Linked DNA regions of Coturnix japonica. The main gene of each other region encodes a partner of the protein of the gene in region 3 in a complex. Links are inferred from orthologs where the notes say so. Each region holds a gene or a part of one and is shown on either strand. Other genes may lie near its edges.

Region 1 (10,476 bases), on a different chromosome or scaffold from region 3:
CGGAAAGCCTGTACTCACACCCACCCCAGCAGCTCCCCTAGGAGGGGCAAACAATTGTTACCGTCTCTCTCTTGAGCTTCTCCCGCTTGCGTATCAGCTCCACCAGCAAGCGCGCGCGCTCTAGGTCATGGCGGAGGCGCTGCCATGACTTCAGCTGCTCCTTCAGGGCCCAGTTCTTATCCTCAGTGTCTCTCTGCAGGAACATCAGAGACTGTGAGCTGACAGGAGAAGCGTTCCCATTTCTTCCTTCCTGGCTGTGTGCGAGGGCTCTTCTCTTGTACAGGGAACCAGCACGCCTGACCTGCTGCCTCAGTGAACATCCCAGCTCCCCTGCCATATGGGTGACTCACAGAGACAGCCCAAGTGCTGCCTACAGCTCAGTACCTGCTCCATGGTCACCCAGCTGTTAGGATGCCAGAAAGCGAAATCTGGAAATACTCGGCCTAACATGACTACATGCAGGCAGCTGCCCAGGACCACAAAGCAGCAATAAGTGTCCAGGCGGCTGCCCAGAGCTCTAGTCAATGGCAAACAGGGCAAAATAGGAACACAGCTCTGGTTACCTTCACCTCTGGAGCATCAAAAAACTTGCTGACTTTTATTCTGCTGCTGTAAGCCAAAGATGAGCAAATAAAAATGAGGGAGGGGTAAAAGCAGAAGAAACCTCTAACTGATCACCATCTTCAAAGGGCTTGGAAAGGCTTAAACAGAGAGCCATAGGAAAGATCTTCCTCTGGCACCAGAGATCTCACATCTGTGAAGCAGTGACTGAAGGCTGAGGCAAACAGCAGGCCAAGAGCACCACCCACAGGGATTGTTCCCACAGCTATTTCAGGATCAGTGAGGCCTTGGTTTCTTCCAGACCATGTCTGGGGATCCCTGGCCACCCCTCTCAATGCCCACTGACACAAGTGGCCTCAGGTTAGAGCCCACTTCTGCCAGCGTTGCCACAGCTGCCAGCTGAACGCCGGCAAGAGGAATGAGCTAACTCCTGCACACAACAGGGCAGGCTTCCCTTCCCATGGCAGGCTGCCAAAGGCGGCTCCGTCTGGCAAATCTCTGAATGCTGAGAGTGGAGAAGGTAAAGCAGCAAAAGCAGGCAGCTGGGGCGGTATCGGGAGGTAGAACTCTTTTCTCCAGCCCCTTTCTGAGCCCGAAGGCACCAACACATGCAGCAAACGCTTTGAGCCCACAGCTGCAAAGGCACAGGAAGCACACACAGACACCCAGGTTGCCCCTCAGCACCCCAAAATGCAGCGTGTACCTGATCACAGTTCCTCTGGGACTGCAGGTGTGTCTGAAGGCGGCGCAGCAGAGGGACACCGTTGCGGGACTGCCGCTTCAGCAGCCAGTAGTTGTGGAGCCTCTGCATGAACTGACTCTTCCTCTGGATAGTTAAACGATTGGTAATCTTGCTGAGCCTGAAGAAAGGAGAAGGGTCACAAACCCAGTCAGCAAAGCAAATCTGGCCACAGCAGAAGCCCCAGTGTAGCGAGGCAACCCACAAGCTCCTCAGACTGAGCACACACCTTTGCGTAGTAGAAATCCCTGAAGGGCCAAGGAACGAGGGGCAGCAGCACATGACAGACAGCTACACTAAAAAACATTCAGCCTTGTCTCTCCTAAAGGCCTTTTCCTTTCTCTCCTTTCCTGCTGACTGTTCCAGGTTGGGGTGCAAGGCGGGGGCACTGGCAGCTGGGCCTTTCACAGCTCCCTGCGGCCCCGAGACCACGGCACGGCTGTCCCAAAGCTGTGATTCACCCGGCTTATTATGCTGGCAGCAAGGGGCCACCCAAGACGACAAAGGCCCTATTCAAACATTACCAGACAGCTCAGCAGCCCCGAGGAGTTTGTAGCATGAACAAATCTGGGAAAGCGTGAGGAGGGGTGGGCAGATGCTAGCAGAACAGAGCTTGCTGTTGGAACTAAGGAAGAACTACCCTGAACAGCCCCAAACAAAACAAAAGGGGTTTCCCTCCTCTTTACAATGGCAGAGCCTGAAGCGACTGAGACAGCCTCTTCCATCAGTGCAGTTAAGAGATGCCCTGCTAGGTGAGACTGAAGTGTGGATCCCATATCTCCACATCCTGCAGGACCAGCTCTTCACACAGGGTGACCCGACCTGCATTAGCTGAAGGCAGACAGCGTCCTCATCTGCTGTCATTGGTTGCTCACAGCTTCTACAGGAAGACATTTGGCATCCTGGCAACAGCCCTTGAAGAATAATTAATCCCAACAGGAAGACCTGGGGTGAGGTTAACAGCTTCTACCTCAGTGTGGGTTTCACTGTGAGCCCGAGGGTAGCAGAAAGAGCCTACAAACAGCTTGCTAGTGCATCCACATGTGGGAACAGAGAGGCTCGGGTTATAGAACACACCCCGAGCGAGTGAGCCGTACCATACAGTTAACACACAAACACCATGGCACGAAGCCACCAATCCTGCAGCACAAACTGCCCACAGAGCAAACCCCACAGTGCCTGCATACCCCCTCCTGCCCAACAAGAGCCCTGAAGGAGCCTTGCCAGGAGGCAGTGACCCCATGCCATGGTGGCTGCAACTCAGAGACCTGAGGGCCAGCAAGTGCAGCTCTGGTGTGGTGTCCCAGCTGCAGTGAGGAGAACCTGGTTGGTGACTCATAGCCACCAAGGCAAACACTGCCCTGCCCAGCTCCAGCTGTGCACCACAGGCATGCTGCAAGGCTGGGAAGCAGCAGGGCTGTGTGGGGCCAGCTGCAGCAAAAGGAAGGTGGCCTCTGCTTTCTTCCTGCAGCCTGTTCCAACACACAGGAGAAGAGCTCTGGGAGCCCCCAGCTGCTTCCTGCCACCCCTGGCCAAGCTCGGTTGCTGTCATGAAGCCAGCAGCATCTATTTCCTGTGCAAGCACCTCGTGGGGCTGCACATCTCACTCCTCTCTGCAGGAAAGCCAGAGGAAACCACAAACAGCCCCGGGAAGAGCAACGTGAAAAGCACTTGTGCAAAAAGACAGCTCCTGCATGCAAAGTGGGACATGAGACGCTGAGAAAGGGACAGGTTTCTCCACAGCAAGGGGAAGGCAGCGAGTTGTACCTGTGGGGGGGGATGCAGGGAACAGAAACCACAGGTGCTGCAGCTCGTTTTTCTGCCAGGATCTTCCGCGCCTTCTTCATTTTGATTCTCGACTTGGCCTTTGCCTTTTTCACCTTCTCAGAGCTCCAGCTCTTGCCTTCCTCCTCCTCTTCCTCATCTTCCTCTTCCCCCTCGCTGTGGGAAAGCGCAGGCAGCCTGCGCACGGAGCCTGGAGGTGTGTGGATGTCACAGTAGGCAGTTTTGCGCACGCTGAAGGAGGTCCCGTTTGCTCCCGTCTCACGGACGGGCTCCATTTTCATGAAGAGACCAGCCCGCTGGGCACAGGTGACGTGGAAAGCAGTATAACAGTTTGCCTTGTGACACTGGATGCAAGCCCCAGAGCCACGCTGCTTGCAAATATAGCAGGTCAGCTTCCACCGTGCAGGTGGGATGTGCTCGATGCTGTCTATGGGTTCCAGGAAGACCGTGTTGGCAAAGCACACCTCCGGGATCCAGAGGGCACAGACCACGTGTGCCCAGCGCCCATCGTCCGTCTGCTTGAACGCACCGCCCTTGTTGGGGCACAGGGCACAGTCCACGGCTCGTGAGGGTGACTGCAGGCACCTCCTGCACAGCCACTGTCCCTCGGGGATGTAGGGCACCCCGTAGCATTCCTGGTGCACAGCCAGGTTGCACATATCACAGAAGAGGATAACGTTGCTGTTCTGGCACTCCCCGTCATTGCAGATGCAGCACACGGCATCCTCATCAACCAAGGCGTTGGGGTCCCCCTTGTTGTGGCTCTCGAAGTATGACTCCTTCTCCAGCCTGTCCATCAGGTACTCAAAGATCTCCTGGGGAATGGGACTGACGCCCTCTGTCTTCCGCCGCTCGTTCATGATATCCAGCCAGATGTAATCTTCCTCGTCCATGTCGTACTCCACCTCCTCATCCAGCTCCTCCGCTGACTTCTCAATGTACCTGGAAGGGGAAAGCAAGAGAAGGTGAGAGTTCTGCATATTAGAGCCCAAAAAAACCCACAACAAACAGAAAAGAGGCAGCAGCGCTCAGAAGCTGAAGGTGCTGCACTGCTTGGGGGGCATTTGGCACAGCACGGCTGGATGTTCAGACAAAATAACAAGCTGCAGATGTTGTAGACTCATCAACACAAGACAGGAGCTTGTACAAGCCAGCAAGCGGACACCCAGTACTCTGGAGACAGTGACCTTGTTCCCCAGACACAATAGCACTGGCCCTGCTGCACATGGGGTGCAGACAGTGCCCTGTTTTGGTATATTTCTCCTGTTGCCACCTGGAGGTGAGGCAAGGTGAATCGTGGGGAAAAGCCAGAAGCCCCTGCACCCTGCTCCATCCGTCCTGCTCCATCTGCAACAACCAGCAGCCAGAGTGCAGCACCACACTGAGCACTATGCAGACAGCTCATGGGGAACTCTCTTTTCCAGCAGTGTGACACAAGCCCACGTTATTCCTCTGTGCCTGCAGCTTGGTGCCAGACTCTCAGGCAGCACGGTGGCTAGGAGGGCAGAGACAGCAGTGAGAGCACTGCTACAATGGCCAATATTGGCACCGAAACAAACCACATATGGAAAACCCATAGGGCCACGAGAACACATTACACCTACAAATGCACATGGCTCACAGCTGAACTTTGGTGCTGGGGGGCTCCTGACTTATCCTAGAGCATCTCCAGACAGCAGTGGGGGAGGCAGAAGGACACTCACCTTCTTTCATGGAGTGGCTGGGTCAGGAGGGCCCTTAAAGCCCACCCGGCTCAATCCCTGCTGCGGTGCCCATGGCACCTCCATGGATGGGGCACCCCCAGCTCTGCACAGCTATGCCAGCACTTCGCCTCCCTCTGAGTAGGGAATTTCCCCCTAACACACAACCTAAATGCTTTAAGCCCATTCCCCCTCACCCTAACACTAGGAGACCACAAGCCGCTCCCCCTGTTTGCTACAAGCTCCCCTTCAGCCCTTATACACCACGCTCAGACCGCAGCAAAGCCCCCCCGAGCCCCCCATCCCGCGGGGCGGCACCGGGACCCCCCGGTACCTGTAGTACGAGGTGGGTCTGGGCGGCGCGTCGGGCGTGTCCTGCTCCAGCTCTCGATACACCACCTCGGGCAGCTTGGGGGCCGCTCCAGCCGCCGCGTTGTGATGGTGGTGGTGATGGTTGGAATCCTTCCGCTTCTCCTTGCTCTTCTGCTTGGCCGACTTGGGCGCGGCGGCGGACGCGGCTGCCGCCTGGCTGTCCCCGTTCTCCTTATTGCCGCCGCCGTCCAACGCCTCGTCGGCGGTTTCCTCGTCCTCGGACACCACGTCCAGGTTGTCGAAGATGCTGATGCGGTGCACGCGGCCGTGCAGATCCACCTCCACCATGCGCTGGGCCTGCGCGTAAGTCATCACCTCGCGGCCCGGGGACTGCGACGCCTCGGACGGTTCCGGTGACGGCCGGTCGTTGGCCCGGCCCTGCCGGCCCTTCTTCTTGTGCTTACGGAGCGGCGGCTGCTGCGGCGGCGGCGGGTTGTCGTGGTCATAGTGGTACAGGTGGTACTCGATGCCGCTGTAGCTCTTGTAGATCTTACGGCAGCTGCCCACCGGGCACTCGTAGGGCGGTTTGGTGGCCCGCAGGTTGTGGCAGAACGTCTTCACGTCGAAGTCGACCCCCATCGTGCTCGGTGTGACCGTGTGCGCTGGGCCCGGCCCCGCTGCCGCCTCCCGCCGCTCAGCGGCCCCGCGCCATGGCCCGGCCTCAACAATGGAGGAGCGCGGGGCGCCCCTGGGTAAAGCGCCGGGCGGCCTTAGCAACAGCACTTTCGACACCGCGCCGGCCCAGCGGGCGGGACGGGTTGCGGGAGGGAGGAGAGGGGAGGAACCGAGCGAGGAGAGCGGGGAGAGGAGAACGGAGCGGGGACAGCGGGGAGAGACCCACCGGGGATAGGGGACGAGGTACCGCGCGGAGAGCGGCGAATCTGCCGATGCGAATCTCAATAACCAGTACCCGCCCCTCAGCGGCCGGAGCGCTTTATTGCGGCCGGTGACAGCGGCACCAACGGAACGGACGGAAACAAACGGAACCGAACGGAACCGGACGGAACCGAACGGAACGGAACGGAACCGAACGGAACCGGACGGAACCGGACGGAGCCGAGCGGAACCGAGCGGAACCGAACGGAGCCGAACGGAACCGAACGGAACCGAACGGAGCCGAACGGAACCGAACGGAACCGAACGGAACCGAGCGGAACCGAACGGAACCGGACGGAGCCGTCAGTGCGCGGCGTTCCGGCGGGGCTCGATGCCGCGGCCCCGCATGTAGGACAGCAGCTGGTCGGGGATCTCGGCCAGCACGTCCTTGGCCAGGCGGGCCATGCTCAGCACCTGGCTGCCCCCCCGGTCCATGTAGTCACGGAACGGAACGAACTGCGGGCAGTGGGACAGTGGGGGTAATGGGGGTAATGGGGTAATGGGGGTAATGGGGGTAATGGGGTAATGGGGGTAATGGGGGCTATGGGGGTAATGGGGTCAATGGGGTCAATGGGGTCAATGGGGTCAATGGGGTCAATGGGGTCAATGGGGGCAATGGGATCAATGGGGTCAATGGGGTCAATGGGACAATGGGACAATGGGGGTAATGGGGGCAATGGGGGCAATGGGGGCAATGGGGGCAATGGGGGCAATGGGGGTAATGGGGGCAATGGGGGCAATGGGCAGCAATGGGGGCCCGGCCCCACAAGGCCTGGTGCTGCAGCTCACCTGCACGATGTCCCTCTCCGCATACCGTCCCCGCGATGACACCCGCACCTCATCCCCATCCAGCTCCTCCATGGCTGCAGGCACCGCTCAGACCCGGTATGACAGCACCCCCCGGCCCGGCCCCATCCCCAGCCCACCCCGCTCACCATCGAACTCAGCCGGCCCCACTCCCACGATGATGATGGACATGGGCAGCGCAGAGGCCTGTTGGCAGAGGGCAGCAGCCATAGGTGTGGGGCAGCCCGGCGGCACTGAGGCCATACGTGGTGCCCTGACCCTGGTGGCGTGCGGCCACTCACGGTGACGATGGCCTCCTTGGTCTGCATCATGTCGGAGATGACGCCGTCAGTGATGATGAGCAGGACGTGGTACTGAGAGCCATCGGTCACCTGGGCGGCCGTGCTGCAGGGATACGGCATGGCAGCCCTCCAGCAGCCGCCCCACATCGTCCCCCACAGCACGGCCACGGGATGGGGGCGGCCCCGCAGCGCTCACCCGGCCACCTGGTTGATGACAGGGGCGAAGTTGGTGGGCCCATAGAGCTGCACGGTGCGCAGGCTCTGCAGGTAGGACTCCAGCACTCCCTCGATGCCGGCACAGCTGGGGTTGTCCACGTTGTTGTTCTGGGGACAGGACTGATGCTCCCATGGTGCTGGGTAGGATGCGGCCAGGCCGGCTGCTCCCCAGCCCCACACCCAGCAGCAATAGGTTCCCCCAGCCTCGCAGCAGGGCGCACCAAGGGGAACTGGTGGGAGATCTTGCCATCAGGTGGCAGCTTGGCTCCGAAGCCGTAGGCAGGGAAGAGCTTGTCGCTGTCGTAGTCCTGGATGATCTCCCCGACGGCCTTGAGTGCCAGGGCGTATGCGCTCAGCTGGTAGGGGCTGGCGTAGTGCAGCGAGGTGGGCTGCGATGGCAGCCCTGTGGCACAGCGCACATCAGCACCCACATGGTGCTGCTCCCCGGGACCCCCCCTCTGCTGTGCTCACCGTTGGAGGCCGTGAAGTCGATGGCGACGGTGAAATTCAGCTGTGTCCTTGGAGGGAGAGTGAAGGAGGCTGCCAGCCCCAGGCACAGCGCGACCCCACAGCCCAGCCCCGCTGCCCACCCCACAACTGCAGCCGCTGTCTCAGCACCCCCAGGATGCAGCACCACCATCACTGCCTTCCTGCCCCCATCCCTTGGCAGCCTGGGGGCACCCGGCCCCACTCACCCGCCCCGTATGTAGTCAACGAAGGTGAACTCGGACTCAACGGAGAAGGAGAGCAGAGTCACCTGTGGGCACGGGGTGTCAGAGCCAGCACCTTGCCATGGGTGAGAGCTGCAGGAGCAGCCCAGCCCCACTCACAGTGCCAGAGTTGACATATTTCTTCTTCTTGCACTTCTTCCTAGGGTTCAGCACCTGCGGGCACCAGGCAGGTCCCTCTGTGGGGCTCCCCACGCCCCCAAAGCTGCCCCACTGTGGCCCCTGCCCTACCTCATACACCGTGAACTGGCTCTGTGCACGGGACAGCTCACGGTAGCTGGTGGCAAACTCCCCGATGAAGTCGTGGCTGCAGGAGGAGCGCAGGGGCTGCGTGTGTTATGGGATGAGGAACACCCCGATGTCACTGTGCTGCCCTTTGGGGCACGGCCTCACCTCCCATCCCTGTCCCAGTCGTACACATCAATCTTCACTGTGCTGGAAGTAAAGCGGGGCTGAGGGGGAGCCTCTGGCATGGCCCACAGTGTGCAGGGCTCAGTGTGCCATCAGAGTAACACTGCATGCCCAGGGAGGGGAGCAGGGAATTTGGGTCATGGTGGAGCTCTGGGGAGGGGGGAAGCTTTTATGTAATTTGGATTGTAAAAGGAAAAAGAAAAAAGAGAACACCACTAAGAACCCTGTTTGGAGTTGTGTGCTGGCTGTGGGGAGATGCTGCGTCCTGTCCTACTGCTGCCCCATTGCAAACACCACAGCGGTGTTCCTGGGGTGCAGAACAGGTCTGCAACGTATGGGGCAGCTCTGGAGAAACATCACCAGGACACAATTTGGGGGATACGAGATGTGTGCAGGGCTGTGGGCTGGCCCAGGGGCTGCAGGATGGGGCCAGAGTGTGGGGTGGGTGGAGGCTGCCCCACAGAACCATCCTCACCGGTCATAGTCACCGTTGCAGAGGGCACGCACGGGTATGGTGAAGGGCTGCCACACCGGGTTCAGCGTGTTCTTCACCACCTCCGTCTTGTGGCAGATGGTGAAGCTGCGGGGACGAGGCATGGTGAGGCCATGCCGTGCAGGGACACCCGCACCCCACGTCCCCACGCTCACGTGCCGTCTTCGTTGCTGCGGTAGAAGACCAGGAAAGGGTCGGATTTGCCAAAGAAGTCCTTCTTGTCCAGTTTGTTGGCACAGAACTGCATGGTGACGATGTCCTGCGGATGGGGACTGTCACCAGCAGCCAGCTCCTTGCCCCACATCCCATAGCGTGCAAATGCAGCACTCACCCTGCAGTTGCTCAGCTCCTCGGCCAGCAGCAGGATGGTCCCACACCGCTTCCCTGGGACCCCCCTGCGACAACAGCCCAGCGTGGGGACAGTGGGGACAGCACAGGGGCAGGATGCAGGGCGCTCCACAAGGCCCAGTGCTGCAGGTGCGTCCCCAGCCATGCACAGGGACGTGGGGCAGCATGGCCAGCGGGGTATCTTGAAGCAGGGTGGGCGGCCAGGGGCACAGTGTGGGACCCCCAGCCCTGCCACAGGATGTGACTCACGTGAGGGCTCTCTCCAGACGGCCCCGCTGGGACCCGATCACTTCTCCCAGTGCCACAAACGCCTGCCCCAGGAAGTCCTGCACCCAGGAATGCCATGCTCAAACCCTGGGGGCTCCTGTTTGCAGCCCCCTCACCCTCTCATCATCTCCAGCCTGTAGCCTTCTTTCCCCATAGAACCCCAGGTGACCTGAGCTCACCCTGTGCCCTATAAGAGCACAGCTCCATAGCCCACAACCCCTCCTGTACACCCAAGGCCACCCCACATCCCTGAGCTCATCATGCAGCCCTACAACCATCCCATGTACCCACTCCATGTCCTGACCCCAGCCCACAGCCTTGTATCCCCCAAAATATGTCCCAGACACATTCCTCCAGAGCCACCTCACGTGTCCTGGAGCCCTCCTGCCCCCCTGGGCCACTGTGCACCCACAGCAAGCACCAGTTCCCCATCATAGCAGACACCTACCTTCTGCCAGACCCAACGTGGCGTGGAGAGACAAAGAGCAGGTTGAGCCCGAGGCTGGGGGTGCCAGTCCTACCCAGGAGCCCCCACACAGGGCAGGGCTTTGGGGTGTCCAGAGCACTCACCTGCTTGTAGATGGAGCAGCTCTTGGAGTCCACGTTGTAGCTGGAGGTAGCAGAGCAGAGCTGTGAGCTGGAATCTGGGCACGTCCCCTTGTCTCCACCCAGTGCTTTGGGACCCCATTTCTGACCCCTCTGCCCATCCACGCAGCAATGCTTTGTACTGCTGTGGTCTCCCACGAGTTACCCACGGGCTCAGCACCCCTCACTCCCCGTTGGTGCCAGGGCACTCACACGTCAAAGCGGAGGTTTTGCTTCTCCTCGAAGTAGTAATCGAGGACAAACTTGCGGACGAAGTCGGGGTTCAGGGTGTTGTCGATCACTTCGG
Region 2 (10,730 bases), on a different chromosome or scaffold from region 3:
TCTCACCACTGGAGGGCTGAACCACACTGTGCCTATAAGCCAATGCCAAACCAGTGCCATGTGGCACTGCAGTCATACAGGCTTAGATCACCACCACCACCACGTTTCCTGGGCAAAGGCACAGCAAAGAGGTCATCCTTCTGTTTACAGTTATCCTGCAGGAGAGCATTTGTCAACAGCTTCAGTATCACCTGCAGCACAAGTATCAAAGTCCAACAGAGATAAGGGCACGATGTTTTATGCCAGGACTAAAGATGCCTCAACCCCCAACGCGGTTCAGTGGTGCTGCTGCAGCGGGCAAAGCCCTGAGATAAGTGGGAGAGGAAAGCACTCTATTTATAGCCAAAATTCAGCACATTTGCACATATTTATTGTTGAGCACATGCTTCTGCACTCCACCAAATGAGGATGAAGTGAGGTATGTGCTTGACAGCAAGCGTGGGCTTGCAAGCTTTGCTGGCTTGAGCTCTGTCCCTTTTCCCCCCATCCCTCCTCAGCCCACAGGAAGGGCTGGGGCTTCACCCTGACCCCAGCAGGAGTCTCCCTGCCCCCCAGCACAGCTCATTTGGGGGCTCATGGGGCTCAGCTCCCTGCATGAGTGGGGGGCTTCCAGCAGAACGAGGAGCCCACAGCCCAACATCTCCACTGCTAACAGCTTCTGTTGTACCTCAGTGCTGCATTTCTGACAAACCCAACCCCACGTGCAATTCACTGTGAAGCAAATCTCCAGCAAATGCAGAAGACGCAGCTTCCTCAGCTCTTTACAAAGTAATTATTCCAACACTTCCCCTGCTGGAGGTGAACCACTTCAGTTATCTAGCCCAAAGTCTCAAATTAAAGGTCTTACTGTCAGTGGTGTCTGAGTTATCACTGCTGATGGAGTACTTCCGTCGTTTTTCTTCCATCTGCAACAAGAATGAACAGCACATTACAGCCCATTCCCAGATCCCCCCCTCTGCACCCTCACCTGCCCGCCCCAGGTGCCACCCCTGGCTCCAAAAATGGACATGTGAAATCCCCACTGTGTTTTCATTTATCAGCACGTGGCTGTTTCTCTCCCAGCTCTCCCCACTCCCAGGCAGTACAGAAACACACAGTGACTGCTCAGAGCAGTGCTCTGCAGCACACACAGCCCCGGGGCCATGTGCAGCTCCACGCCGTGTGGTGCCCCATGAGGCTGCAGGGCTGGAGGCTGTGCCCAGAACTACCGGGCTGCGGTTGTGGGAAGTGCACAGCTACAGGAATGGAAACTCTGTGCACTCTCCGTATGCCTGCAGGGGAAGTCCATGCAGCACTGAGTTCAAGAGGACCCCTGTGTGCAATGAGCCCGGGGTTTTACCCTCTGAGTCATCTTCCCACTCGGACTGCACTGACTTCTTTTAAGAGCTGTGATGTATCCGCAGCCTGAAGCAGGCTTCCCACAGCCCAGACCTCCTCCAGCACTGCTGGGCAGTCCCTGGCTGCTGCCACAGCACTGTCACCTCCTGGAGATGGGCAGTGGGCACCCAGTGCAGGGCAGAGCTGCAGGGGGCTCAGAACAAGGCAGGAGTGTCCAATAGCAGCACTTCCTCCGCTCAGGGACTGAGCAGGCAGAGCTGAAGGGCAAGCACTTGTGTTAGCACCTGTGTTAGCAGGTGCTTGGAAAAAAGGCAAAAAAGAAAGGAAAAAATGAAAACAAAAGCAAAGGTTTTCACTTGAGAAGAGCTTGGTTCCTCAGGGCGCAGCAGGTGGTGATCAGCACAGCCCCACCTCCAGGGCTCGGATGGAGCACTATGCATGGACCACACTGCTGAGAGCCAACAGCACCTGCAAGAAGTGGCACCAACCCCACAGACACCTCCCTGGTGCCTTCTGTAAGCACATTCTGAGGCACAGAGACTCTGTGATCCAGGGAAAGGACACAACTGTCCTGTGAGGGTCAGCAGCAGCACACCATGCACACCGGAGGAGGTTCCACTTGTGCACAGTTCCCCACTGTGCCCTCCCAGCACCTGTACCCAACAATCTGTGCACTGCATTTCACACCAACAGAAGGGACAACAACACAAAGCACCATCAACATTTTAACTACGGGGGCTGTTGTAAGGCACTGCCCTGTCAAAACACCATTAAAAACGTTCCTTGAGAATATGGCAATGCTAATACATTCCTCCAGTGATTCCCAGGGAAGCAGCTGTTATTAAGGCAGCTGTGTTCCAAGCAGCCGTTAGGTTCTGCTTGGGGAAGAGGATACTGAAGGCAGATTTACCTGCAGTTTGCTTTCTTTCAATGGAAATCCTACCTGAATGCGTGGCTCCCACTGGCTGGCTCTTGGAGCATAGAGATGGAGCTGTGCTTACTGATCCACGGAGCCGCCCAACACTGACACCCCATAAACCAACACCAACAGGGAAAAGAACCACCTGAACTGGAGCAAAGGAATGCTACTGGGGCCCAAAGGCATTTCCAGCTCTCCTATCTTTGGCTTTGTAGCAAGACAGCACAACTGGCATCACTGTCCTACCATGGGAAAGGTGCATCTCCAGTGCCCAGCACAGGGGGGGTCAGGGCTGGGGGCTGCTTGTAGCTATGGGGTATTTGTGGGACGAGTTTGTACTCACATACAGAAGTAACTCAACACCACAGGTTAAACTGTGGCTCCATTTCAACAAATTATTTTTGTTTGTCCCCGGTGTGACAGGAACCAAGAGACCGTCCTCTGAACTGAACTGCATTTCAATTGCTCTGAATGAAACCCCTGACAGAGTAAAGTATAGACCTCTCTGAACACAGCAGCACTGAAATGCAGCCCCAGCCCGGGCAGGGAACAGCACAAAGCATCACCAACCGCCTGCAGGAAGGGAAACACGGGCTGAAACACAAAGCTCGGGCAGACCTTTCAGAAAGTAACTTCCAGGACACAGCTTCCTGAAGGACTCATCTTCCAGAGCCCTCCTAACAGCAGTAAACAACGCGGTACTCAACAGAGGAATTTACCGTAGAAAAAGGGTAATTGGGCAATTTCCCCATCTGGAGCTCAGGGCTATAAAGTCTGATGGTGGCTGGGCACCCTGCTGGCATCCCTCCATCCCTGCTGCCCACATCCCCGCACCCCCGGAGCTCTCTCTGCCCATTCCTGCCCCGCACCAGCCTTCAACTCCGGGCTCGGCTCAGCCGGTGTGTTACAGAGCCATTCAAAACCTCCACAAAACGCAGCGCGTTGCTCCAAAATTAATCCTCCGTTTACATTAGGAGCTAATTTCACCTTTAACTGACCCGTTCCCCACATGGCATCATTATTAAAGTCATAAACAAATACCAAAAAAATTTGTAATACTTTGAAAAGGTCGCTCTTAGGTCAAACTTGGCCCAAAATCTGGCTTTGACAGAGCCAGAAACCAGGAGAAAGGTTTCTATGTATGCTCGCTTAAGATTCAAATAGAAACAGATGTGGGTTTCTTTTATAAACAAATGAACATCCCCCTGAAGTGTCTGCAACTCGACTGGACTGAGCCAGTGCCTGGAAACGCGAAAACCGGACTGACTGCGAACTAACACATGCTCAGCATCGCCTTTGTTCCAGCTGAAAAAGGCAAATAAATGCAAAACCGAGGAACGCGATGGGCAGCCATCAGCCTAAACAAATTCAAATCGCCAGGACCCGGGGCGAAACAGCCGCGGGATGGGCAGCAGAGTGGGGGTGGGCGGCGGATGGGGATGCTGCCATATCCCGTGCCGCTGCCTCGAGCATCCCCCTGCCGGAGGAAGCCCCGGTGCGAAGCATCCCCATCGCCACTGTGAGACGAGGGGATGCGGTTTTGCCCTGCCCACGGGAAGAAGCAGAGGAGCGGAGAAGTGGAGGCAGACTCAGAAGCACCTGCCCAAACCCTGAGCTGCCGGTCCCCAGGTCCCGTGTAGCCTAGAAAGGGCTCAGGCCGGCTCCTCGCCCTGTGCCAGCCCCTTCGCTCAGGGGAACCACAGAGGTTTCCCAGCTCCCTGCGAGCTCCTCGCTCTGCGCATCACACGTGCGTTCAGGGGATTCCCGGTGGCACCGCGTGCGGCGGCCCTTTGGGTCACTGGGGGAGCGGTTCTGAAGTGGGACAAGAGAAATCCGCGCAGGTTAACTGCTTCTACAGGGAATATAGCACAGAAATCCGCACAAACGGCAGGAGAAGCCGGGCTCGGCCACCGAATCGCGGCAGCGCTCGGGGATGTGCCGCGCTCCCCGCACCGCGACCTCCGCTCGGTGACAGTTGAGCAACAGCGGCTGAGATATGCGCTGTGTTTGTGAGCTGCAATGAGACTGCAGAAAACCACTTCCCTGTTTGTTCCTCCGGCACAGAAATAGGAACACAAACAGAAAATAGTGCCCCCAGCGGCACGCGCACCCGCCCGGCTTCGGACCGGCGCATCCCGGTGCGCCCCGGCGTGTCCCGGCGTGGGGGGGGGGGGCACGGAGCCACGGGGCGGCCCCCAGCGCTCCCCCCGCATTAACCATTTCCCGGCTCTGTCTTGGAAAGCGGCGCGTTGTTAGAAAGCTGCTCACGGAGGAGTAGGGCTGGGGAGGCGGTGGGAAGCTCCCAGCCCCGCTCCGCTGTCCTGGCGGCGCTGCCTTTTCTCATAACCGACCGGGGAGCTCCGGGCGGCCCCACATCCCCGACGGCACGACGTACTTTCCGACCGGGGATGGCCCCGCAGCGCACCCGCAGCCCAGCAGCACGTGTGGGCTCGCAGCCCCGCGGCTGGGGCGGGGGGAATCAGCGCTGCTCCGTCCCGAACCCTCCGGGGAGAGCAGCACAGCCCCGGGCAGCCCGAAGCCGGCAGCGGGACATGGAGGGGCGCGGGTTATAAGGGCTCCCGGCACAGCCCCGCGCCCAGGTGGAGCCGCCCCTCGCTCCAGCTGCGCCGCTGTCTCGGTTCCCGGGGGCACCATTTAATCTCATTTAAATTTAAAACAAAACAAGCCTTCGTTTACTTCCTGTGCTTTGCCATTTTTTGCCCCAAATCTAGTAGGGGATTTTCTTCTTTTCTAACTTTATTACTCACATTTCTAACTTTCCTTTCCTGACTTGTTATCCCCTCATTACCCGTTCTGCCTGCAGCATGCCCCGACACAGCACCGGCAATCAGCCGGGCCATCCCAAGGCCATCCCCATCCCCATCCCGCACCTCCGGAGCACAGCAAGGGGCTGAGCCGCACCGGAACCCCCGCACCAAACCCCGCACGCAGTGCCCCGCTCCGGCCCTGCGCCCTCCTCTGTACGGGGCCACCTGCCCGACTTTCCGAACTCGGTGCCCAAACCCCATCAGCAACCACATGAATTTCATCTCCCCGCTTAGAAATCTCGCATGTCCCCTTCCCACTGTGCTCCAAGCCTTCATTTTTAGAGATCAGCCTCAATTTTCCTAAGGAAAACAAACGTAACCTTTGATGTAACCTTTCTGCGAGCTATTTTTGCTCCCATCTCGAGCTTATTTTAACCTCGGTAGCCAATAAACGCTTAAAGGTCAAACCCCGTTCCTACGATCTCCTCTCACTCCCGGGGGGAAGCCGGAGCTCGCTGATGTATCCCAAGCAAACCCCTTCTCTCCCGGCCGTCCCAGCGCCCCTAACTCAACACCGCTCACTGCGGTGCAAGGGGGGGGATGAGGGGGGCGGGGAGGGTTTTCCCTCCGGGATGCCTTCAGCCCCTTCCTCACTCCGCAGGCTCCCGGGGTTCACAGGTACGAGAGTTATTCCCACCCCCTTCACAACCCCGATGGCGGCAGGTGGGGAAGGGGCCGGGCGGCCCCGGGGGCGGCGGAGAGATGGGGAGGGCGGGGGGGAGGAGGCGGCCGCCACGCCCCCGATCCCCGCCGGGCACAGCCCCTACGGCCCCCCCCGACCGGAGCTCCCCCCCCCGCCCCCGGTAACGCGCAGAGCCCCCTAGAAACGCGGAGCGCGGTCCGTCCGCACAGCTATTGCCGCAGTCATTAATTTCGGGGAAATACGAGGGGAGAGGAAGGGGGGGGGAGGAAAAAAAAGAGAAAAGAAAAAGCCAAAGCTGCGGGGCGAACCTGGAAAAGTTCGTGTTTACATCCCCGCCGCTCTCGCCTCGCGCACTTTAAAACCGGGGAAGGGACCAACATGCGCAATCCGCCCCCTGGAAATGCCGCACATCCCCCAGCCGGGAGGAGGGAGACGAGGAAATAAATAAATAAATAACGAGAGGAGATAGGAAAATAAATAATTAAAACAAAATAAGCCAAGCGCTGCGAAATGCCCCCCCCCCTCAATCGACCTCCCCCCCCCAGCCCCCCCATCCCTTCCCATCCGCCTCCCCCCGCGCAGCCTCACCTTTGCCGGAGCAGCGTCCGCGGAGAGTTGCGCCTGGCAGCGGGGGGCGGCGGGGAGGGGCGGGGCGGGTGGGATGGGGACGGGATGGGGACGGGGATGCGCAGAGCCCCCTCACGCCGCTGTCATCGCCGCCGTCCCGGCCCTGCTCAGGGGCGGCCGCCCGGGAACTCCATGGCTGCTCCCAGCCGAGATGGCCGCTCGCAGCGCGGCCCGCCGAGCCCTGCCCGCCCGCGGGTGCGCTCTGTTGGGTTTTTTTTCAGCCCGCACTTCCTCAGGATCTCCTCGCCCCGCCGCTCGGGCTCCGGGAGGAGGGAGGCGGAGAAGCCACTTTCGGAGCGGGGCCGGATAATGGTGCTGCCGCTCCCCCCCCCCCCCCCCCCCCCCCCCAACCCCCCACCCTCCCCTCCCTCCCGCCCCAAATCTTTTCCCCCTTAATTTCTTCCTCCCCCTCCGGGGCTCCGCGCGGGTCCAGGTGTCTCCGCTCCCCGTTCAGCCCCCGCCGGGCCGCGGGGGCCCCATGGCTGCGGCCGGAGCCCGGCGCTGCCCGCACCGCCCCGCACCGCCCCGCGTCCCGTTCGCGGCCGCCCCGCACACACCCCCCGCTCACTCTTTACCTTCTCTTCCCCCACCGCCCCCCCCTTTCCCCGCTGCGCTCCCCTCTCCCCGTTACGCACACGGTGCACACGGGGCTGCTGCTGCAACCTTAAAAAAAAAAAAAAAAAAAAAAAAAAAAGGAAAAAAAAAAAAGGCTTATACTTAAAAAAAAAAAAAAAACACCCTTTTGGCGCCATATTAATGACGTACTTAAAATTTGCCATTTCTCCTGCGTCAAAAAGACGGTTCTTGCCCGGCGCGGAGCGGGCGGGGGCGGCAAAGCGGAGCCGCTTCAACCCCCCTCCTCCCCTTCCACCCCCCAACGCGACACTTCCCGACGTGCCGCTGAGTTCCGCGGGTGCGGAGCGGGGCTCTGCCGGGGGGGGAGGGCTGCGGCACGGCCCCCCCCCATGGGGAGCAGCGCTGCGTTGCGCGGTGCCCCCGGAGATGCGGAGCGATGGGTCTGAGCTGCCCCCATAGCGCGGGGGGGTTGTTGGTTGTTTAGAGGTGGAAACGGGGAGCGGGGATGGAGCGCTCCGTGGATGGGAGCGCACGGTGCGGGAGGGGTCCGGCAGTGCTCTCCAGCGGGAGGTGAAAATTCGGCTCCCCATCCACGGGCGCCTTTAGCGGGCAGCTGTACAACCCCGAGCCGCCCGCTGGGACAGCAGTGGGACCACAGCGAGCATCCCTCAGCACGCTGCCCGAATTGCCCAAACTTCCATCAATCCGGCTGCGGTTTTCTCTCTCGGGAGCCTGTGCTGGGCATTTCCTGATCGTTTTAAGCCCAGTAGCTCTTCTGAGGATGAAGACTGAGGAGGAGAAGAGCACTGCCTCGGTCACAGCTGGGATTGCTGCATTTAATGATCATCTTTTAAGGATTGTAGCTCTGGAAATACAGCCCTGAATTGAAGCACGAGGCAGCCTTGGATGGGCTTTTAGATAAAGGAGCCCAGACTGGTGGTGTTGGAGGTCTCTCAAAAAAGCAGTTTACAATGCGTGGTGTGAACACGCTGAATCCTGGCTGCTGGGATCTCCTAGGAGCTGCTCTGGGGGCACCTGCAGCCCCAGGCACCTCGGATTGGGATGAGGATGGAAAGGACAGTGAATGGCGAAAGGGGGAGAATGAGGCCTGGGGGGGCTGGGGAGCAGCAGGCAGCAGATGGGCCTGGAGGTGCTGGGGGTGGCCATGGGGCATGGTGTGGGGAGACTGGAGGAATGAGGGACGTTTCCCATTTCCCCATAGATGGAGCAGCACTCTGCCTATTTCTGGTTTGGAAATAAGATGTTGTCATCTTCTCTGGGGAGCCTGCTTGCTGGGATGCGGCCCCAGAGAAGAATGGGGACCATCAGGCACTGGTTAGGAAAAGCCTTTCCTAGCAGCAGGGAGCAGTGGGACCTCAGCAGGCTCTCAGAACCCCCGGCACCCCACTGCTCCCCTCGGGAAGTGAAGTCACTGTGCCATGCAGCCAGAACACTGGGAATGCCCAAATTGAGGCATTCTGTACAGAGTTTGTTGTTGTTTTATTCTCATAATCCTAATGCAGTTCTGAGTTACTCTGTCACATTCTTCCATACAATGCCTGCACATGCTGGACCTGCTCTGTAGATAAGTCAGGAAGGAGACCCAGAGTCACCAGGTCCCATCTTATCTGCTGAGCCAAAAGCTGCCCCAGCAGTGAGGTGAGAGCTGCAGGGCACAGCTCTGGGACTGTCCCAAAGAACAGGACTCTCCTTGCCCTTGCCACAGGGGCAGTGCTTACAAAGTCATTAAAACAAATGTGGAGGTGCTGAGGGTTGCGTAGCTTGAAACCGAACTGCTGACACCCACTGTAGTGCAGCTGGAAGCAGTGGGTGCTGTGCTTGCATGTCTGAAGTGCTGGAGCACGCTCAGCGCTCTGAGAACGCAGACACTGCTGCTCAGGAGTGCCCTGAATTAGTCAAAACTGACCTTAATCCATCCACGTGTCATCCCAACCCATCTCCATAGCGGGTGCCTGGGGAGGATGAGCAGAGTGCTGCAGCACTGATGCTGTGTAGTGGAAAGCACCATAGGAGAAGAAGTGGGAAAATGAATAATTCTGTTTTCAGGGCAGCCTGCTGGCTTCCTTGTGCAGACCTATGGTCCCATAGCCCCCCTGCTGGCCATTTCTGCAGGGTTTGGGGGCAAAACCACTAAAGGATGTCCCAGTATGTCAAAATGCAGAGCTGCAAAGCAGAGCAGGCTGGTTGAGAACCATGGGTCTGGTGTGTCCCTAGGCATGGCCTCAAATGCAGATCATAGAAGCACGGAAACATTGAGGTTGGAAAAGATCACTAAGATTTCCTTGTCCAACTGCTGACCCCACACCCACTAAGCCACCTCCCTGTCCATAGGATGAGCACCTGGTTTTGCCCTAAAACTTCCCACTGAGATGCTGAAGCTGCATTTTCTGTTGCTGTGAGCACTGTAACATGCTGAGCTAAGGCCTACGACTGTATGCAGAGCAACTGCAATGCACCCAAAGTGCTGAGCCCCTCAATGTCCATCCCACGCACTGCATGACCCAGTGGCACAGAAGAAAACCTGCAGTGAAAGAGTTCTCTGCTGTGATGAATGAGCACCATGGAGCTGCACCGGCACCAAGAATCCTCACACTTCTTATTTCTGAGTATCTGATCACTGACCAGATTTTGGTTACCATATATGTGCATTGGTCCCAAATTTGTATATGAACCTATATCTGTAACACATACATACAGCATACTCAGAGCTTACACCCCGTGAGTGGTTCTGCTACGGGAAGGTCACAAGCATTACTTACATGATGCTCCGTTTCATAGCATGCATGCCATGCACATGGCCGTTACAGAGAGCTCTGCCATGGTGTTCTCAGAGAGAAACCTAATAATAAAAACAACAAAAAAAAAAGCATATGGGGAGAAATATACTGCACAAATCCTCTAAAGGGACCGAATTGTCTACACAACAAAGGCTCAGCTGATGGATGCTAAAATAAGCAGTTATGCAACAAGTAAGAAATACGATCTCCGGGGAAGGAGCCAGCAAACTTTTCCTTTCATCTTCACTCACCGGTGCTTATTTTTGCATACCTAAGAGAAAAATATAGACAGCCTTTTGACAGTGAGCACCTATGTTGAATTATCAGATGTTTAAGTGAAGGAACCCGCAGGGCTCAGTGCTGTACCTACAAGAGTCCCCTGAAGCACCGCGATGCTGCTGCTTCCATCGCCTTGGGGCTGCTGCTGGGATGTGGAGGGAGCAGAGTGTGGCACAACCTGCAGGAAATACATTGATTTCATGGGTGAGCGGGCTCACATACAGCTGTGATTATAGAGCTGCTCGAACTTCTGAAGAAAAGAGTATATTGTGGAATCATGGAATGGCTGGGCACAAAGAGACCCTGCTGATCCCCAGTGTGCTGCTCTGGGCCAGGTGCCCCCAAAGCTCAGGCTGCCCAGCACCACATCCATGGCCTTGAGCACCCCCTGGGATGGGGCATCCCATGGAAGAGTTCATCTCAGAACACTTGTGTTTGGTAAAACTTGTCAAGAGGACGTGAGAACCCTGAAAACTCCTGTGCTGATGGGAGAGGAGTGCCTTGCTGCCATCACACTGGGTTTCTGCAGTATCTGCTATGCCAGCCAGGTCCAAGGGAGCATGAGAGGTCCCCAGATAAAGTGAAAACTCAGTGTTATTTTGGAGACATTGCTAACGATCCATTTACCCCTATGTTAGCTAGTAAAAAAGTGCTGGGAAAGCCCTTCTCCTCACCTGCTGCATTCAGCTGGCACACTGGAGAACCAGCTCTGGTGACAAAGA
Region 3 (10,500 bases):
TTCTCCCCCTCTGAGCTGTCAAAGCAAACAAAAGCATTACAGGTGACTGGTAATACAGCGCCTTGAGAAAGGCACAGCTCATTTCAACACCGGGATCTTGACTCGGTGGCTGCAGAAAAGCACCAAACATTCATCCCTCCGTGTACTTTCCCATTGGCAATCCAAATTGCTCATCCCTTATCTGCAGGCACGGCGCCAGCAGCAGCACAAGGACTGCCTGCCATCCGAGCCCTACCTTGAAGCAGGATTAGTTGAACGTGGCTGGAGATTAATGCCTGGCAATCCCTTCTAGCACTCTGTGTTATGTCTACGGCAGGAAAGCAAGCACAAAGGATCCCTCCAAAGGGTAACGGGATGCAAACAACTGCTGTGTGAAACTGGAAGCACTGAATATGGGAAGAGACAAATGTAACTTTTATTATGTACAAATGAGGGGAGTTTGTATTAAAAAGAGAATCTACCCAATGTCAGAGATAGCAAAGAACAGGAGGGCTCTGAGCTCCTGCCTCCTCCGCATCTAAAAGCACTGTGCCAACAGCAGGGGATGGCATTTAAAAGTAATGGCAGAGAAAGTGGGTGACCACCTTGTTCTCTGCCTACCTAAGAATCAAACTGAGCTGATCCACAAAATGAAGAACCTTCTTCTCTTACAAGCATTAAAACAAACCAAAAGCCCATTTATTAACGATGCACTCTGGGTTAAAAACAAAACAAAGGAACAAACAAAACCACAAAGCTACGTCTCAGTAACAAAAGGAACCTAAGCATTACAGCATGGATGGGACATGGTGAATCACAGCCCTACTCCTGCAGGAAGGGAAATGCCTCCCCATGCTTTTATAGCAATAAAATCAGCTGATTGAAGGGAGCTCCTGACTGAGCTGGAAGAGCAGAACAGCCAGGAATGGAGGACTACTACAACTACACCTTCATCTCCTGTAACACAGGTTATCTAAATATGATGCAAAGACACGTCCCAAGTCTTTCTCCCCCCACAGTTCTTTTAGAGTGGACTGCTCCCTTCTGCACACACGTGGCCACAGAGCTGCCATTGAGCTCGTTGGGATGACTGCAGTTATTCTTGGTGGGGATTCATGTAGGCTTGGATCCCGGAATCTTCAGCACTGATGTTTCTAGTAGTCCTGTAGAGACAGGAGAAGATGGGCACATTAAGACCTTCCTACCTCCACCTCTGCTGGCAGAGCTGGGATTCCTCGCCTTCTCTCATTCTACACACCATCAGGTGAAGGCAAAAGAGGTTTGTTTTCAGCCCAAACCAGGTGCTGTTATCGGTGCAATTCACAACAGAACAAAGATGCAAAACAGCTTTTTTGCTCATAAAAAGCACACGCGGCTTCAATGCAACCCTGCTCCGTAACGAGCCCACCTGGGCTCATTTACTATTACATCTGGAAGACGATGCTTAAGCTTCATCCCTACGCATTCCCCAAGCACAAAAACAACCTCATATCATGGCAGAGGAGGCTTTTTTTTTCCAGGATGAGCAACAAAAACGGTGACAGAGCACTGATACTTACAGCTCTCGGCTTTTTGTTTAACTTGAGATCAATCCTGTGGTTGGAAAGATAAGAGAAACGTCCATTTCAATACGTTACACAAACAGTAGGTCTCAAAAGAACCAGCTACTGCATATGGCACAGGCTACAACAAAGGCTACTTTGGTTAATTCAATCCACATTCTCAATTGGGCTGAGCCAAATCGCTGTCCCAATATTACTGGACAAGAGAGCAGCAAAGAGAGGGAGAGTGGATTCTTTATTCTTTGCCACAATGCAGATTCAGTCCCATTCAGAATAAGAGTTAATAAAGATCACGGGGAAGTTACGTAGCATAAAGAAACACGGTTACGTACGCATGCTCTACATTAACTGGTTAGATGTGTGACTATGCCACAGGTCATTATTCAGACATAGCATTAAGGGTTATTGGAACAGAGAGAGGAGTTTAAGGTGGTGGGGATTACAGGAGACAGAGGTAGGGAGTTGGTTATGTTACATCCAGAAGGAAATAACCAAATCTACATTGATCTCCTTCAGAAGCAAAGCCAGAAGAATCAGTTTTTAAGCTACGTATTAAAGAGCTCATCTATTTCAAACCCGGAGCAGAGAGGTAAAGGAGTGTGAAGTTAATTCAATTTGGTTTTTGCCGAAGTTATTAAATAAAAGGTTACCTCCATCACGCTTTGCTGTTTTTAAAATAACCTTCCCAGCCTAACCTAATATACATACCTACAATTAAACAGATAAACTATGGGTTAGAAAGGTCTCAAAAGGCACATCGGTGTCTACACACTAACAACACAGCACAAGTACTAATTCAAGTCAAACTTACTCAAAGTCATAATCAAACATGCCAGACGGGCTGAGGGGCAGCATTTGAAAGGAAGAAAGCAATAGAAATTAATACACTAAGGAATTAAATCAATTAGTCCATTAGCCACCCTAAGCGAGAACGCTAAAAACAAAGTCAATGAAGAAATAAAAGCCGGTGTTCAAACGCCATGAAGTTCTGCAAAGTGTCTTTAACCAGAATGGGGCATAAGAAAAAGCACTGCAGGGTGGATATTGTCCCATTCCCAGGTGGATCTCAAGGATGGGGAGGTGTTAGGAGCGGTGTTATGCAGGGAATGCTGTGTGCTGAGCTCAGAGGGAGATCAGGAAACGGATTTGCTCGCAAAACCTCAACGGGTGGTCAGAAAGCAGTGGCTTTGTCTGGATTATTAAGCAAAGCAAAGCTTGTTCAGGCAGAGGTGGACACAACCATGAAGCCACGTGGCCACGTACGCACTCAATGTTCCCAATACTCACACAACACACAGCCTTCCACCCACATCCCTTTGGGAGCTCGGAATGGTGCCATGGCTGAGTCCAATTGTGGCTCATTGCATTCCCACCCCACATCTCAGCTCTCACACTGGTGGCACTTTACCCCAACCCTCACTGCTCTATTTGGTGCTTCTCAGCACCGGATCCCTATGAGGAAGGACTGTTTTCCCCTAAAACACTTTTTAGCCCTGAGAATAATTGCTGAACGCATAGAAAATCACCATCTGGGCCTTCTATGGTCTGAGGGAAGAGAGGATGGCTTCAATAAAGCACTGCCATGTGATCCCCTGTTTGAATAGTCAGAAATTAACCCAGCTGTTCACACCAGCTCTGCTCAATTTGAATCCACCTCTCCTCGCTGCCACTGGTGGAAGTCAATGCACCTTCAGAGCATCCATTCCCAGCAGCTCCCAGTCCTTCAGGTGAGCAGAATTCAAACATAGGCTGGAAATGAAAGAGCTTCTGAATGAGCTGTGCCATTAACAAAGCTGGGACTGGCTTTTGTTTGGTTTAAACCTGGATATACTTGAAGATCACTCAGGCTCTTCTGCTGTAATTTAGGGGGCAGTCGTTAGCAGCGATCACAACTTCTAACAGTTTGCATTACAAACACATTTAATCACTTTCCACTACCTGGCCATGCTAAGCATTACTGCAAAATCCTTTGGGTTCTTTAGATGCATCTCTTAGGATGATAAGAATTGTCATACCAGATCAGACCAGGGCTCCTCATGTCCAATATTGTGTCTCCAATAGTAGCTGCTTCACAGGAAGGAATGCAGAAGAAACCCCAAAGCAACACAAGCTTTCAGTAGGGCAGTTTCTTCCTAACACCCGTCACTACAGTTTGGGTGATGTAACGGAGCAAAAGAGTTTATATTATTTATGGCATTTGCAGCAGACCCCACTGTACCTGCAGCAGATTGCTTTGTGGTCCATGTAAGTGCCCAGCAGTGCTTTGGATTCTGTTTGAAACAGCAGCATTCTTATGCTGTACTTCAGTCGTACAGATTGTTTCTCTGAAGTGGTTTAGAGACGTGCTCTGTTACTCCTGGCCTTCCTCCCAACTGCCTGAGGGCTAAAAACCACTTCTGAACTGTTGCTGGTTCCTTGCTCAGGAGGAACCCAAAAGGACATCCAATACTTTGGGATGTGTGCCTGAATAAGGCTGCTGTGGGGAGAAAACCCTGACCTTCCAATTAAAAATGCTAATGGCTGAAAATCTAACTAATAAGTCGTAATTAATTGGCTTTCAGGCACTACACCTACCTTGGTGTCTCCCAGACAGACCTTTTCCCAGCAGTCCCTGTGGGATCTATCACTGTATTATAAACCATTTGTATAGGAAGGCTCCTCAAAGAGGAATATCCATCCATACCCAAAGCCAATGAGCTCAATAAGAACCTGACATCCAGGGAAAGCAGCACTGGAATTCAATGAATCCCAATGTGAGCTGTCAGCCCACTGTGCTGCATCTTGCCTTGAAGGTGCGCCTTAAAGGGTTGAAGTGGTCACCTAAATTCAATCACAAAGAGCTCAGGAAATCTGTTTCATGTGAATTTCAGGCCAGTTTAATAACAAGAGCTTGTGGTCTGTGTGATAGAGCAACTTGTACGTGCTATAATCAAAGGACTCTGGGACACGATAACAGGAAAGCTTTGGAGTAGAAAATGTAGTAAAGATAGTGAGTGTCGGCAGCCCCCAGAACACTCTAAGCTGTTTTCCATCCTCCTCCTCCAAAGAAAGCACTGACATTCCTATCTCCCTTAGCTCAGTAGAAACCAAAGAACAACCACAGGAAGCCGGGGCTGTCATCTTCCTCTACTGCAGGGAAGACAGCTTTATTCTGCTTGAAAAGAGAAAAGAACCCACAAAGCCTGGTCAGAAACACCTGAGCTGTGAGTACCCTGTGCTGAATATGCCTGCTGAGCTGCCTCCCTCCCTGACACAAGGAGAGCAGCAGGAGCACAGGCAGCTTCAAAGCAAGTGATAGAACCAAACGACCTGACGAGTTACTAGCTCCCTTCACATCATCAGCAAGAGCCAACCGTTCCCATTGCACTACTAGAAGGCTGTCGGTGCCACTAACCTGTGCCTGTTTTTATTCTTCCTTTTTTTGTGGCTGCTGTGATGGCTTCCAGAAGTGGAAGAAGCTGCTTTTTGGGGTTTCACCCCTTGCACTGATCCATCCAACTCCTCAGCATCCTCCTGGCTGGGTTCGTTCTCCTGATTATGGAAGTCTGGAGATGTGTCGCTTTCAGTCCCACTGCCCGGCTCACCTGGAATGGGACGAGAAGCAGAAGAGCCCAATGATTATCACCTCACTGTTCACATCCCAGGGCTGCTCCTGCAAAGTATGGGGGGGAAAAAAGGGCTACAAGAACTACAGACACCCAAATTTCTGGTGCCAAGGACTGGAAATGCAGCCCTGCTGTCAGACCCAAAGCCATGGTGACAGCAGAAGGAAAGGTCTTAAAGCTGGATGCCCACAACAGGCTGCAGCCTCCAGTAGTGAAGCTCTTATCTCCTCCCATAGCCACGTGCAGCTGATGGAGAGACACAAGACATCTAAAGGCATCACTTCAATCCTGGTTTCTCCATCCAAAGTGGACAGCAGAGAGCCCAACAAAGCAGAGATGGGGCCGAGCTGTGGGGAGAAGCTCAATTCTTCCTAATTCTGCCAAGTGAAGAGGTGACTTACGCTTCTCAATGAGCTGATCCTGGACTCCAGCTAACGCACTGACAGCCTGGAAGGATGAAATGGGTGTTAATGACAACAGGGATGCACTCATGGCTTAACAGATACCCACAGCAGCTTGGTCCCATGGGGTTGGGGGCTGGGGGCAGCTCTTACCGCAGCAGAAGTGACTGAGGATTTGCTGAAGAGCCTCTCGGCCTCTTTAAACTTGCGGTTCCTGCGGTCGTTTTTGCTGTTGGAGTTCCTGCAAAGGAGAAAAGAGGATGGAGGCGGCCCATGGAAGGGGGGGGGGGGGTTGGATGGATGGGGAGGGGGGTTTGGGGGTCCCATGGAAGGAAGGGGGGCGGGTTGGGATGGATGGGAGAGAGGCGGGGCTGAGGGTCCATGGAAAGGGGGGGGCTGGGATGGATGGGAAGGCGGGGTTTGGGGTCATGGAAGGGGGGGTTCTGGGGGTCATGGAAGGGGAGGGGTTGGGATGATGGGGAGGGGGTTTTGGAGGGTCCATGGGAAGGGGAGGGGTTGGGAGAATGGGAAGGGGGTTTGGGGGTATGGAAGCCGGGGAGGGTTGGATGGATGGAGAGGGGGATTTGGGGGTCCATGGGAAGGGGGGGGTTGGAATGTATGGGAGGGGGGTTTGGGGGTCATGGAAAGGGGGGGTGGGGGGTTGGGATGGATGGGAGGGCGGGTTTGGGGTCCACACTCACTTCTGGTTGGTGAGATAACGGTCCCAGCCGCGGATGATGTTGCCGTACATCTGCGTGTCCTCCAGGTAACTCCCTTCGAAAGCATAAATCTGCCTTTCCAGGTTGGCCAGCGTCTCCTACCGGGCACACACAGCGCGATGCATAGAAGCGGGCCTGGCCTTACCTTAAGGCCACAACCACAACCACAAGCCTCACCGCCTTCCCACTTTATCCCCCCCGTCCCCATCGCTCCCTGCTCACCGCCAGCTCCTGTTTGCGTTTCACCAGCTCGGCCAGCTCCCTTCGGGTGTCCGGGATTTGCGGGGGTCCGCCGGACTTAGCGTGCAGGGCGGCCATGGCGGCTGCGGCCTGCGGGGAGCGGGCGGGGCTGCGGGGAATGGCCGCTAGGGGGCAGCACTGAACAGCGCTCCGCCCCCCTGCTCCGCCCCGCAGCCGCTATAGGGTCGGGCTTAATAGGGACATGGGAGGGGGGTGATGGGGAGCCCTAAAAGCATCCAGGATTTGGGTCTGTGCAATAAACAACAAGGCAAACCTCGAATATAAGGTTGAACCCTTCTGCTCACTCAGCAGCTCAAAAGCAGGGCTCAGTGCTTCCCTGTGCAGTGCATGGGGGGGAAATAGGGATATAGGAAAGAAACATTACAATTAAATAGAATTACAAATTCTTTATTTAAAAACCTTGAGATTGTGTATATATATAAAGGTGATCCTTCAAGCCAAGATCTATCCTGCTTTCTATATGAAAACCTATATCAACACCCCGTATTTACACCATCAATGCTCCAGTGTGTGTATACAGGTTGTGTGTGTGGCCATAGAACAAACAGGCAACAGTGTGTTAAGCATCAACATGGAAACCATAGGGAACAGACAGCCACAAAGAGGTGAGATGTGTTTGTTTCCAGTCATTGGGGTTTTTAATTTCCTCTTCCTAAAGCTTTTCCTGTGGGGGAGAATGTTAGAAAGCAACGAGAGCTTCAGTTCTTTTTATATATATATATATATATATAAAGAAAAACTTAAATAGTGCAAACCGGGTAATAAAAACATGCCACCACGTAACGAGTACAATTACAAACAAAAAACATTAAGTTACTCATGGAGCTGATAGAAACAAAGGGCTGAGGTTTAGGAGATACATGACAGTCAGCCATAGTTTGGGTGCTGCAATGTATAGCGTGCATTGATGTGGACCTCAGCCCTCCCAAACCACATCGTTGCAACCTAAAAGCCTCAGGTTGTGTTTCCTTTTCTTCTCACTTACCTTGGAATCGACAGGCAGCTCATTGTGGTCAAATGCCCATTGCTCACAGTGCAGAGCAACCACCCAGGACACATAAAACCTTTGCAATATCCCTCTTTTAGTAGCAAACCTGGTCATTCTCCCTTCTAGAACTCTAGAATTTGGCAAACTCTACAAAACAAGACATTACAAACAATGCATGGGGTTACATTTGAAACTAACACCTCAGTTCAGTAGCGTTTTCAAAGGCTTATGACAAAAAACAGTGGATAAAAATATTCTTAAATACACTTTGCTGTGTTCTACATCGTTTCTTTATCCAGCAGAAAACCATCTTTGAACATGTTTCCAGCATCAGATCATTCACATCCAGCTGCTCTTTTGCTTGTCAGGGGGGTGAAATAAGTCAGATTTCCCACTATACAGACCTACCAAAGCCAAATATTCAGTGGAGTCCCCCACAATAAACCATAAGAACCAGTCAGCAACAGAAGGACTTTAAGGCAATAAGAAGCACCAGTGCTTTGATGCTCCAACATCTCCATCCCAATGCATGTTTTATTGTAAAAGATTCCTCTCCCCTGCTCCCCCATCCCCAATTGCCTTCATGTCTGTTAACTATCGGACTCTTCCTCCTTCTCCTCTTCCTCATCATCGTCCTTTGCGTTGGCCTCTGATTTATCAGATGATTCATGGAGAAGGACGTACTCCCTGCTGCTGAAGCCAAACTTCAATACATCCTTTTCTTTCAGTTCGTAGTAACGTTGAGGCTCAATCCTCTGGTTGTTTAGAAAAGTACCATTGCCAGAACCAAGATCAATGATATACGGCTTTACCCTGCGGCCAACTGTGCCATCAGCGCGTGTGTGCTCCACAAGCCTAGAAAACAAAAACAACCCATCAAGTCAATGATAACACATGGATTTTTCAACACATCAGCCCCACTGTTGTAAATACTTAACCATACTTCAAAGATCTGAGCAAGTACAATGAGAATAATTAGACAGGGCACGGAAATACTCAAGATTCTGACAGACTGCTTCACCCCTTAAAGTTATGATCATATAACATAGTAAATCCTGAAGCAGAACAGATGGTTGTTCCTTAAGAGAGCAGCTCTGCCTCCTGAAGCACACAACCCTGCTGTTTATAAAGGAGATCGGCAGCCTTTGTTGGGAAGGAACAAATGAAAAACCCTCCTTTAAACGTTCTTTATTGCCAATCCCACCTGCTAATAACTCCAATTCAGATATACAGGCAGTTCTGTATTTCATCCTGTTGTGTTGTGTTTCTTACTAAAAGTCTAGATATGGTTAAACCAAAAGGAATTATATATATGTTAAGAGTCACGAGGCTGCTTATGGTTAAACAAAAAGGAATTACATATATGTTACATCCATACCTAAATTCCACCTATCTAAAACCATTGAGCAAACATGCATTTTCTAATCTGTGCACATCCAATACGTTCTTTGATTCCCTTTGCACGCAAGCGACCAAATAATCCCCACCTACCAGAGGGATACAGAGCGATACTGACCGGTATTGGAACACAGCGTGTTGCTTTGAGCAGGAGGGATGATCAATGGGGATATCTGCTATCCTGCGGTGCCTGCCCAGGAGATAAGCACTCTGCCTATGAATGTACATGACAGGCAGGAACTCATCGTTTTTAAATGGATAGAGACGCCATCGTTTCTTTGGAATCCGAGCTTCTGGGGGCTCACTGTATTTAATCACAACGCCTCGGAAAGTGTTGGTATCCTCCAGAAGGGCACCAGACAGTTCAAAGCTTGGTTTTTCTTTGTTTACAGCTTTATCTTTTGGTTTGTTATCAGATTGTTTGTGTTCTGGATTCTGCTCAGCACCGCTCCCCTCGTTGTTCTGTCGATGCTCTCGTCTTCTTTCGTTATAGAACTCCCTCTCTGCTTGTTGCTCACGGATGTTCTGAACATCTCTTTCTCTCTCATGGCCTCGACCTCCAGGTCTTTCCTCCTTTTTCCTCCTGTCTGAGTGATCTCTGTGCCTGTCTCTGTCACCGCTTCTATCTCGTCTGTGTTCTTGCTCTGACGTGTGTCTCTGCTTTCTCTCTTCATTTCCTCTGTGAGGATGATCGTCTCGTTCCTGAGGAAGAAGACAGAAAACACATGAAAAACACAGACTGTAACATGGTACGTGTATATCTAGATTTATTTATTTCCTTCCAAAGTGAATTCCCACAACTTGGGCCCAACAATGCAAGGCTGACAGAGAGCAATGCATCATAACATCAGCCTTCAGGGTCAGCCTGCAGGCTGGGCTCACTTAAAGGCACAAATACTCATTTTCTTACAGGAATAACAGGGGCTGGGCTCACTAAAAGGTACAAACACTCAGTTCTTTCCAGGAAAACACGAAGCAGAGAGCAAGGAGATGTTACACTGTAAGACTCTCTCTTCCTTAAGAGTTATTCTAGAGGGATCAGGGGGCTGGAGCACCTCCCCTATGAGGACAGGCTGAGGGAGTTGGGTTTGTTCAGCCTAGAGAAGAGAAGGTTGCGGGGTGACCTCATTGCAGCCTTTCAATACCTGAAGGGAACTTACTCCCAGGAGGGGAGTAAACTCTTGGAAAGGGCTGACAATAGCAGGACACGGGGAAATGGTTTTAAGTTAAAAGAGGGAAGATTTGGGTTGGATGTTAGGGGGAAGTTCTTCACTAGGAGAGTGGTTAGGCCCTGAAACAGGCTGCACAGGGAGGTTGTGGATGCCCCGTCCTTGGAGGTGTTCAAGGCCAGGTTGGACGGGGCCATGGGCAACATGATCTATGGGGTGTCTTTGGGGATCTATGGGTTGTCTGTGGGGCTCTATGGGGTCTGCATGGGGTCTGTATGGGGTTCAGTGGGTCTCTATGGGGCTCTATGGGGTGTCTATGGGATCTCTGTGGGGATCTGTGGGGTCTCTATGGGGATCTGTGGGGCCTGGCCTCTCCCAACGCCATTTACCTGCTTTACCCTCACACCTCCATGGTGCG

What was found.
Region 1: MEAF6 (region 3) and BRPF1 share a complex: the UniProt entries of both Homo sapiens proteins name them as parts of the MOZ/MORF complex. The link is inferred for Coturnix japonica from reciprocal best matches to the Homo sapiens genes MEAF6 and BRPF1.
Region 2: MEAF6 (region 3) and JADE2 share a complex: the UniProt entries of both Homo sapiens proteins name them as parts of the HBO1 complex. The link is inferred for Coturnix japonica from reciprocal best matches to the Homo sapiens genes MEAF6 and JADE2.

What each region holds. Positions count from the first base shown.
Region 1 is NC_029527.1:8,981,038-8,991,513, reverse strand, and holds the start of BRPF1 (peregrin), read right to left. Parts: upstream 6,206-10,476; 5' UTR 5,999-6,205; exon of another isoform or gene 5,846-5,998; 5' UTR 5,737-5,845; coding exon 5,120-5,736; intron 4,028-5,119; coding exon 3,068-4,027; intron 1,422-3,067; coding exon 1,265-1,421; intron 194-1,264; coding exon 62-193; intron 1-61. Other genes in the region: CPNE9 (copine-9), read right to left, coding at 6,819-7,224, 7,318-7,445, 7,559-7,740, 7,809-7,855, 8,033-8,094, 8,168-8,372, 8,459-8,500, 8,952-9,056 and 6 more. UniProt on the Homo sapiens protein: Scaffold subunit of various histone acetyltransferase (HAT) complexes, such as the MOZ/MORF and HBO1 complexes, which have a histone H3 acetyltransferase activity.
Region 2 is NC_029528.1:2,341,579-2,352,308, reverse strand, and holds the start of JADE2 (E3 ubiquitin-protein ligase Jade-2), read right to left. Parts: upstream 6,206-10,730; 5' UTR 6,109-6,205; coding exon 6,037-6,108; intron 4,383-6,036; exon of another isoform or gene 2,282-4,382; intron 906-2,281; coding exon 848-905; intron 1-847. UniProt on the Homo sapiens protein: Scaffold subunit of some HBO1 complexes, which have a histone H4 acetyltransferase activity. Acts as an E3 ubiquitin-protein ligase mediating the ubiquitination and subsequent proteasomal degradation of target protein histone demethylase KDM1A.
Region 3 is NC_029538.1:3,340,144-3,350,643, reverse strand, and holds MEAF6 (chromatin modification-related protein MEAF6), read right to left. Parts: upstream 6,635-10,500; 5' UTR 6,585-6,634; coding exon 6,489-6,584; intron 6,365-6,488; coding exon 6,249-6,364; intron 5,789-6,248; coding exon 5,701-5,788; intron 5,594-5,700; coding exon 5,548-5,593; intron 5,126-5,547; coding exon 4,936-5,125; intron 4,693-4,935; coding exon of another isoform or gene 4,668-4,692; exon of another isoform or gene 3,950-4,667; intron 2,383-3,949; coding exon 2,353-2,382; intron 2,250-2,352; exon of another isoform or gene 2,192-2,249; intron 1,573-2,191; coding exon 1,539-1,572; intron 1,143-1,538; coding exon 1,134-1,142; coding exon of another isoform or gene 1,076-1,133; 3' UTR 648-1,075; downstream 1-647. Other genes in the region: SNIP1 (smad nuclear-interacting protein 1), read right to left, coding at 8,106-8,370, 9,032-9,615, 10,472-10,500.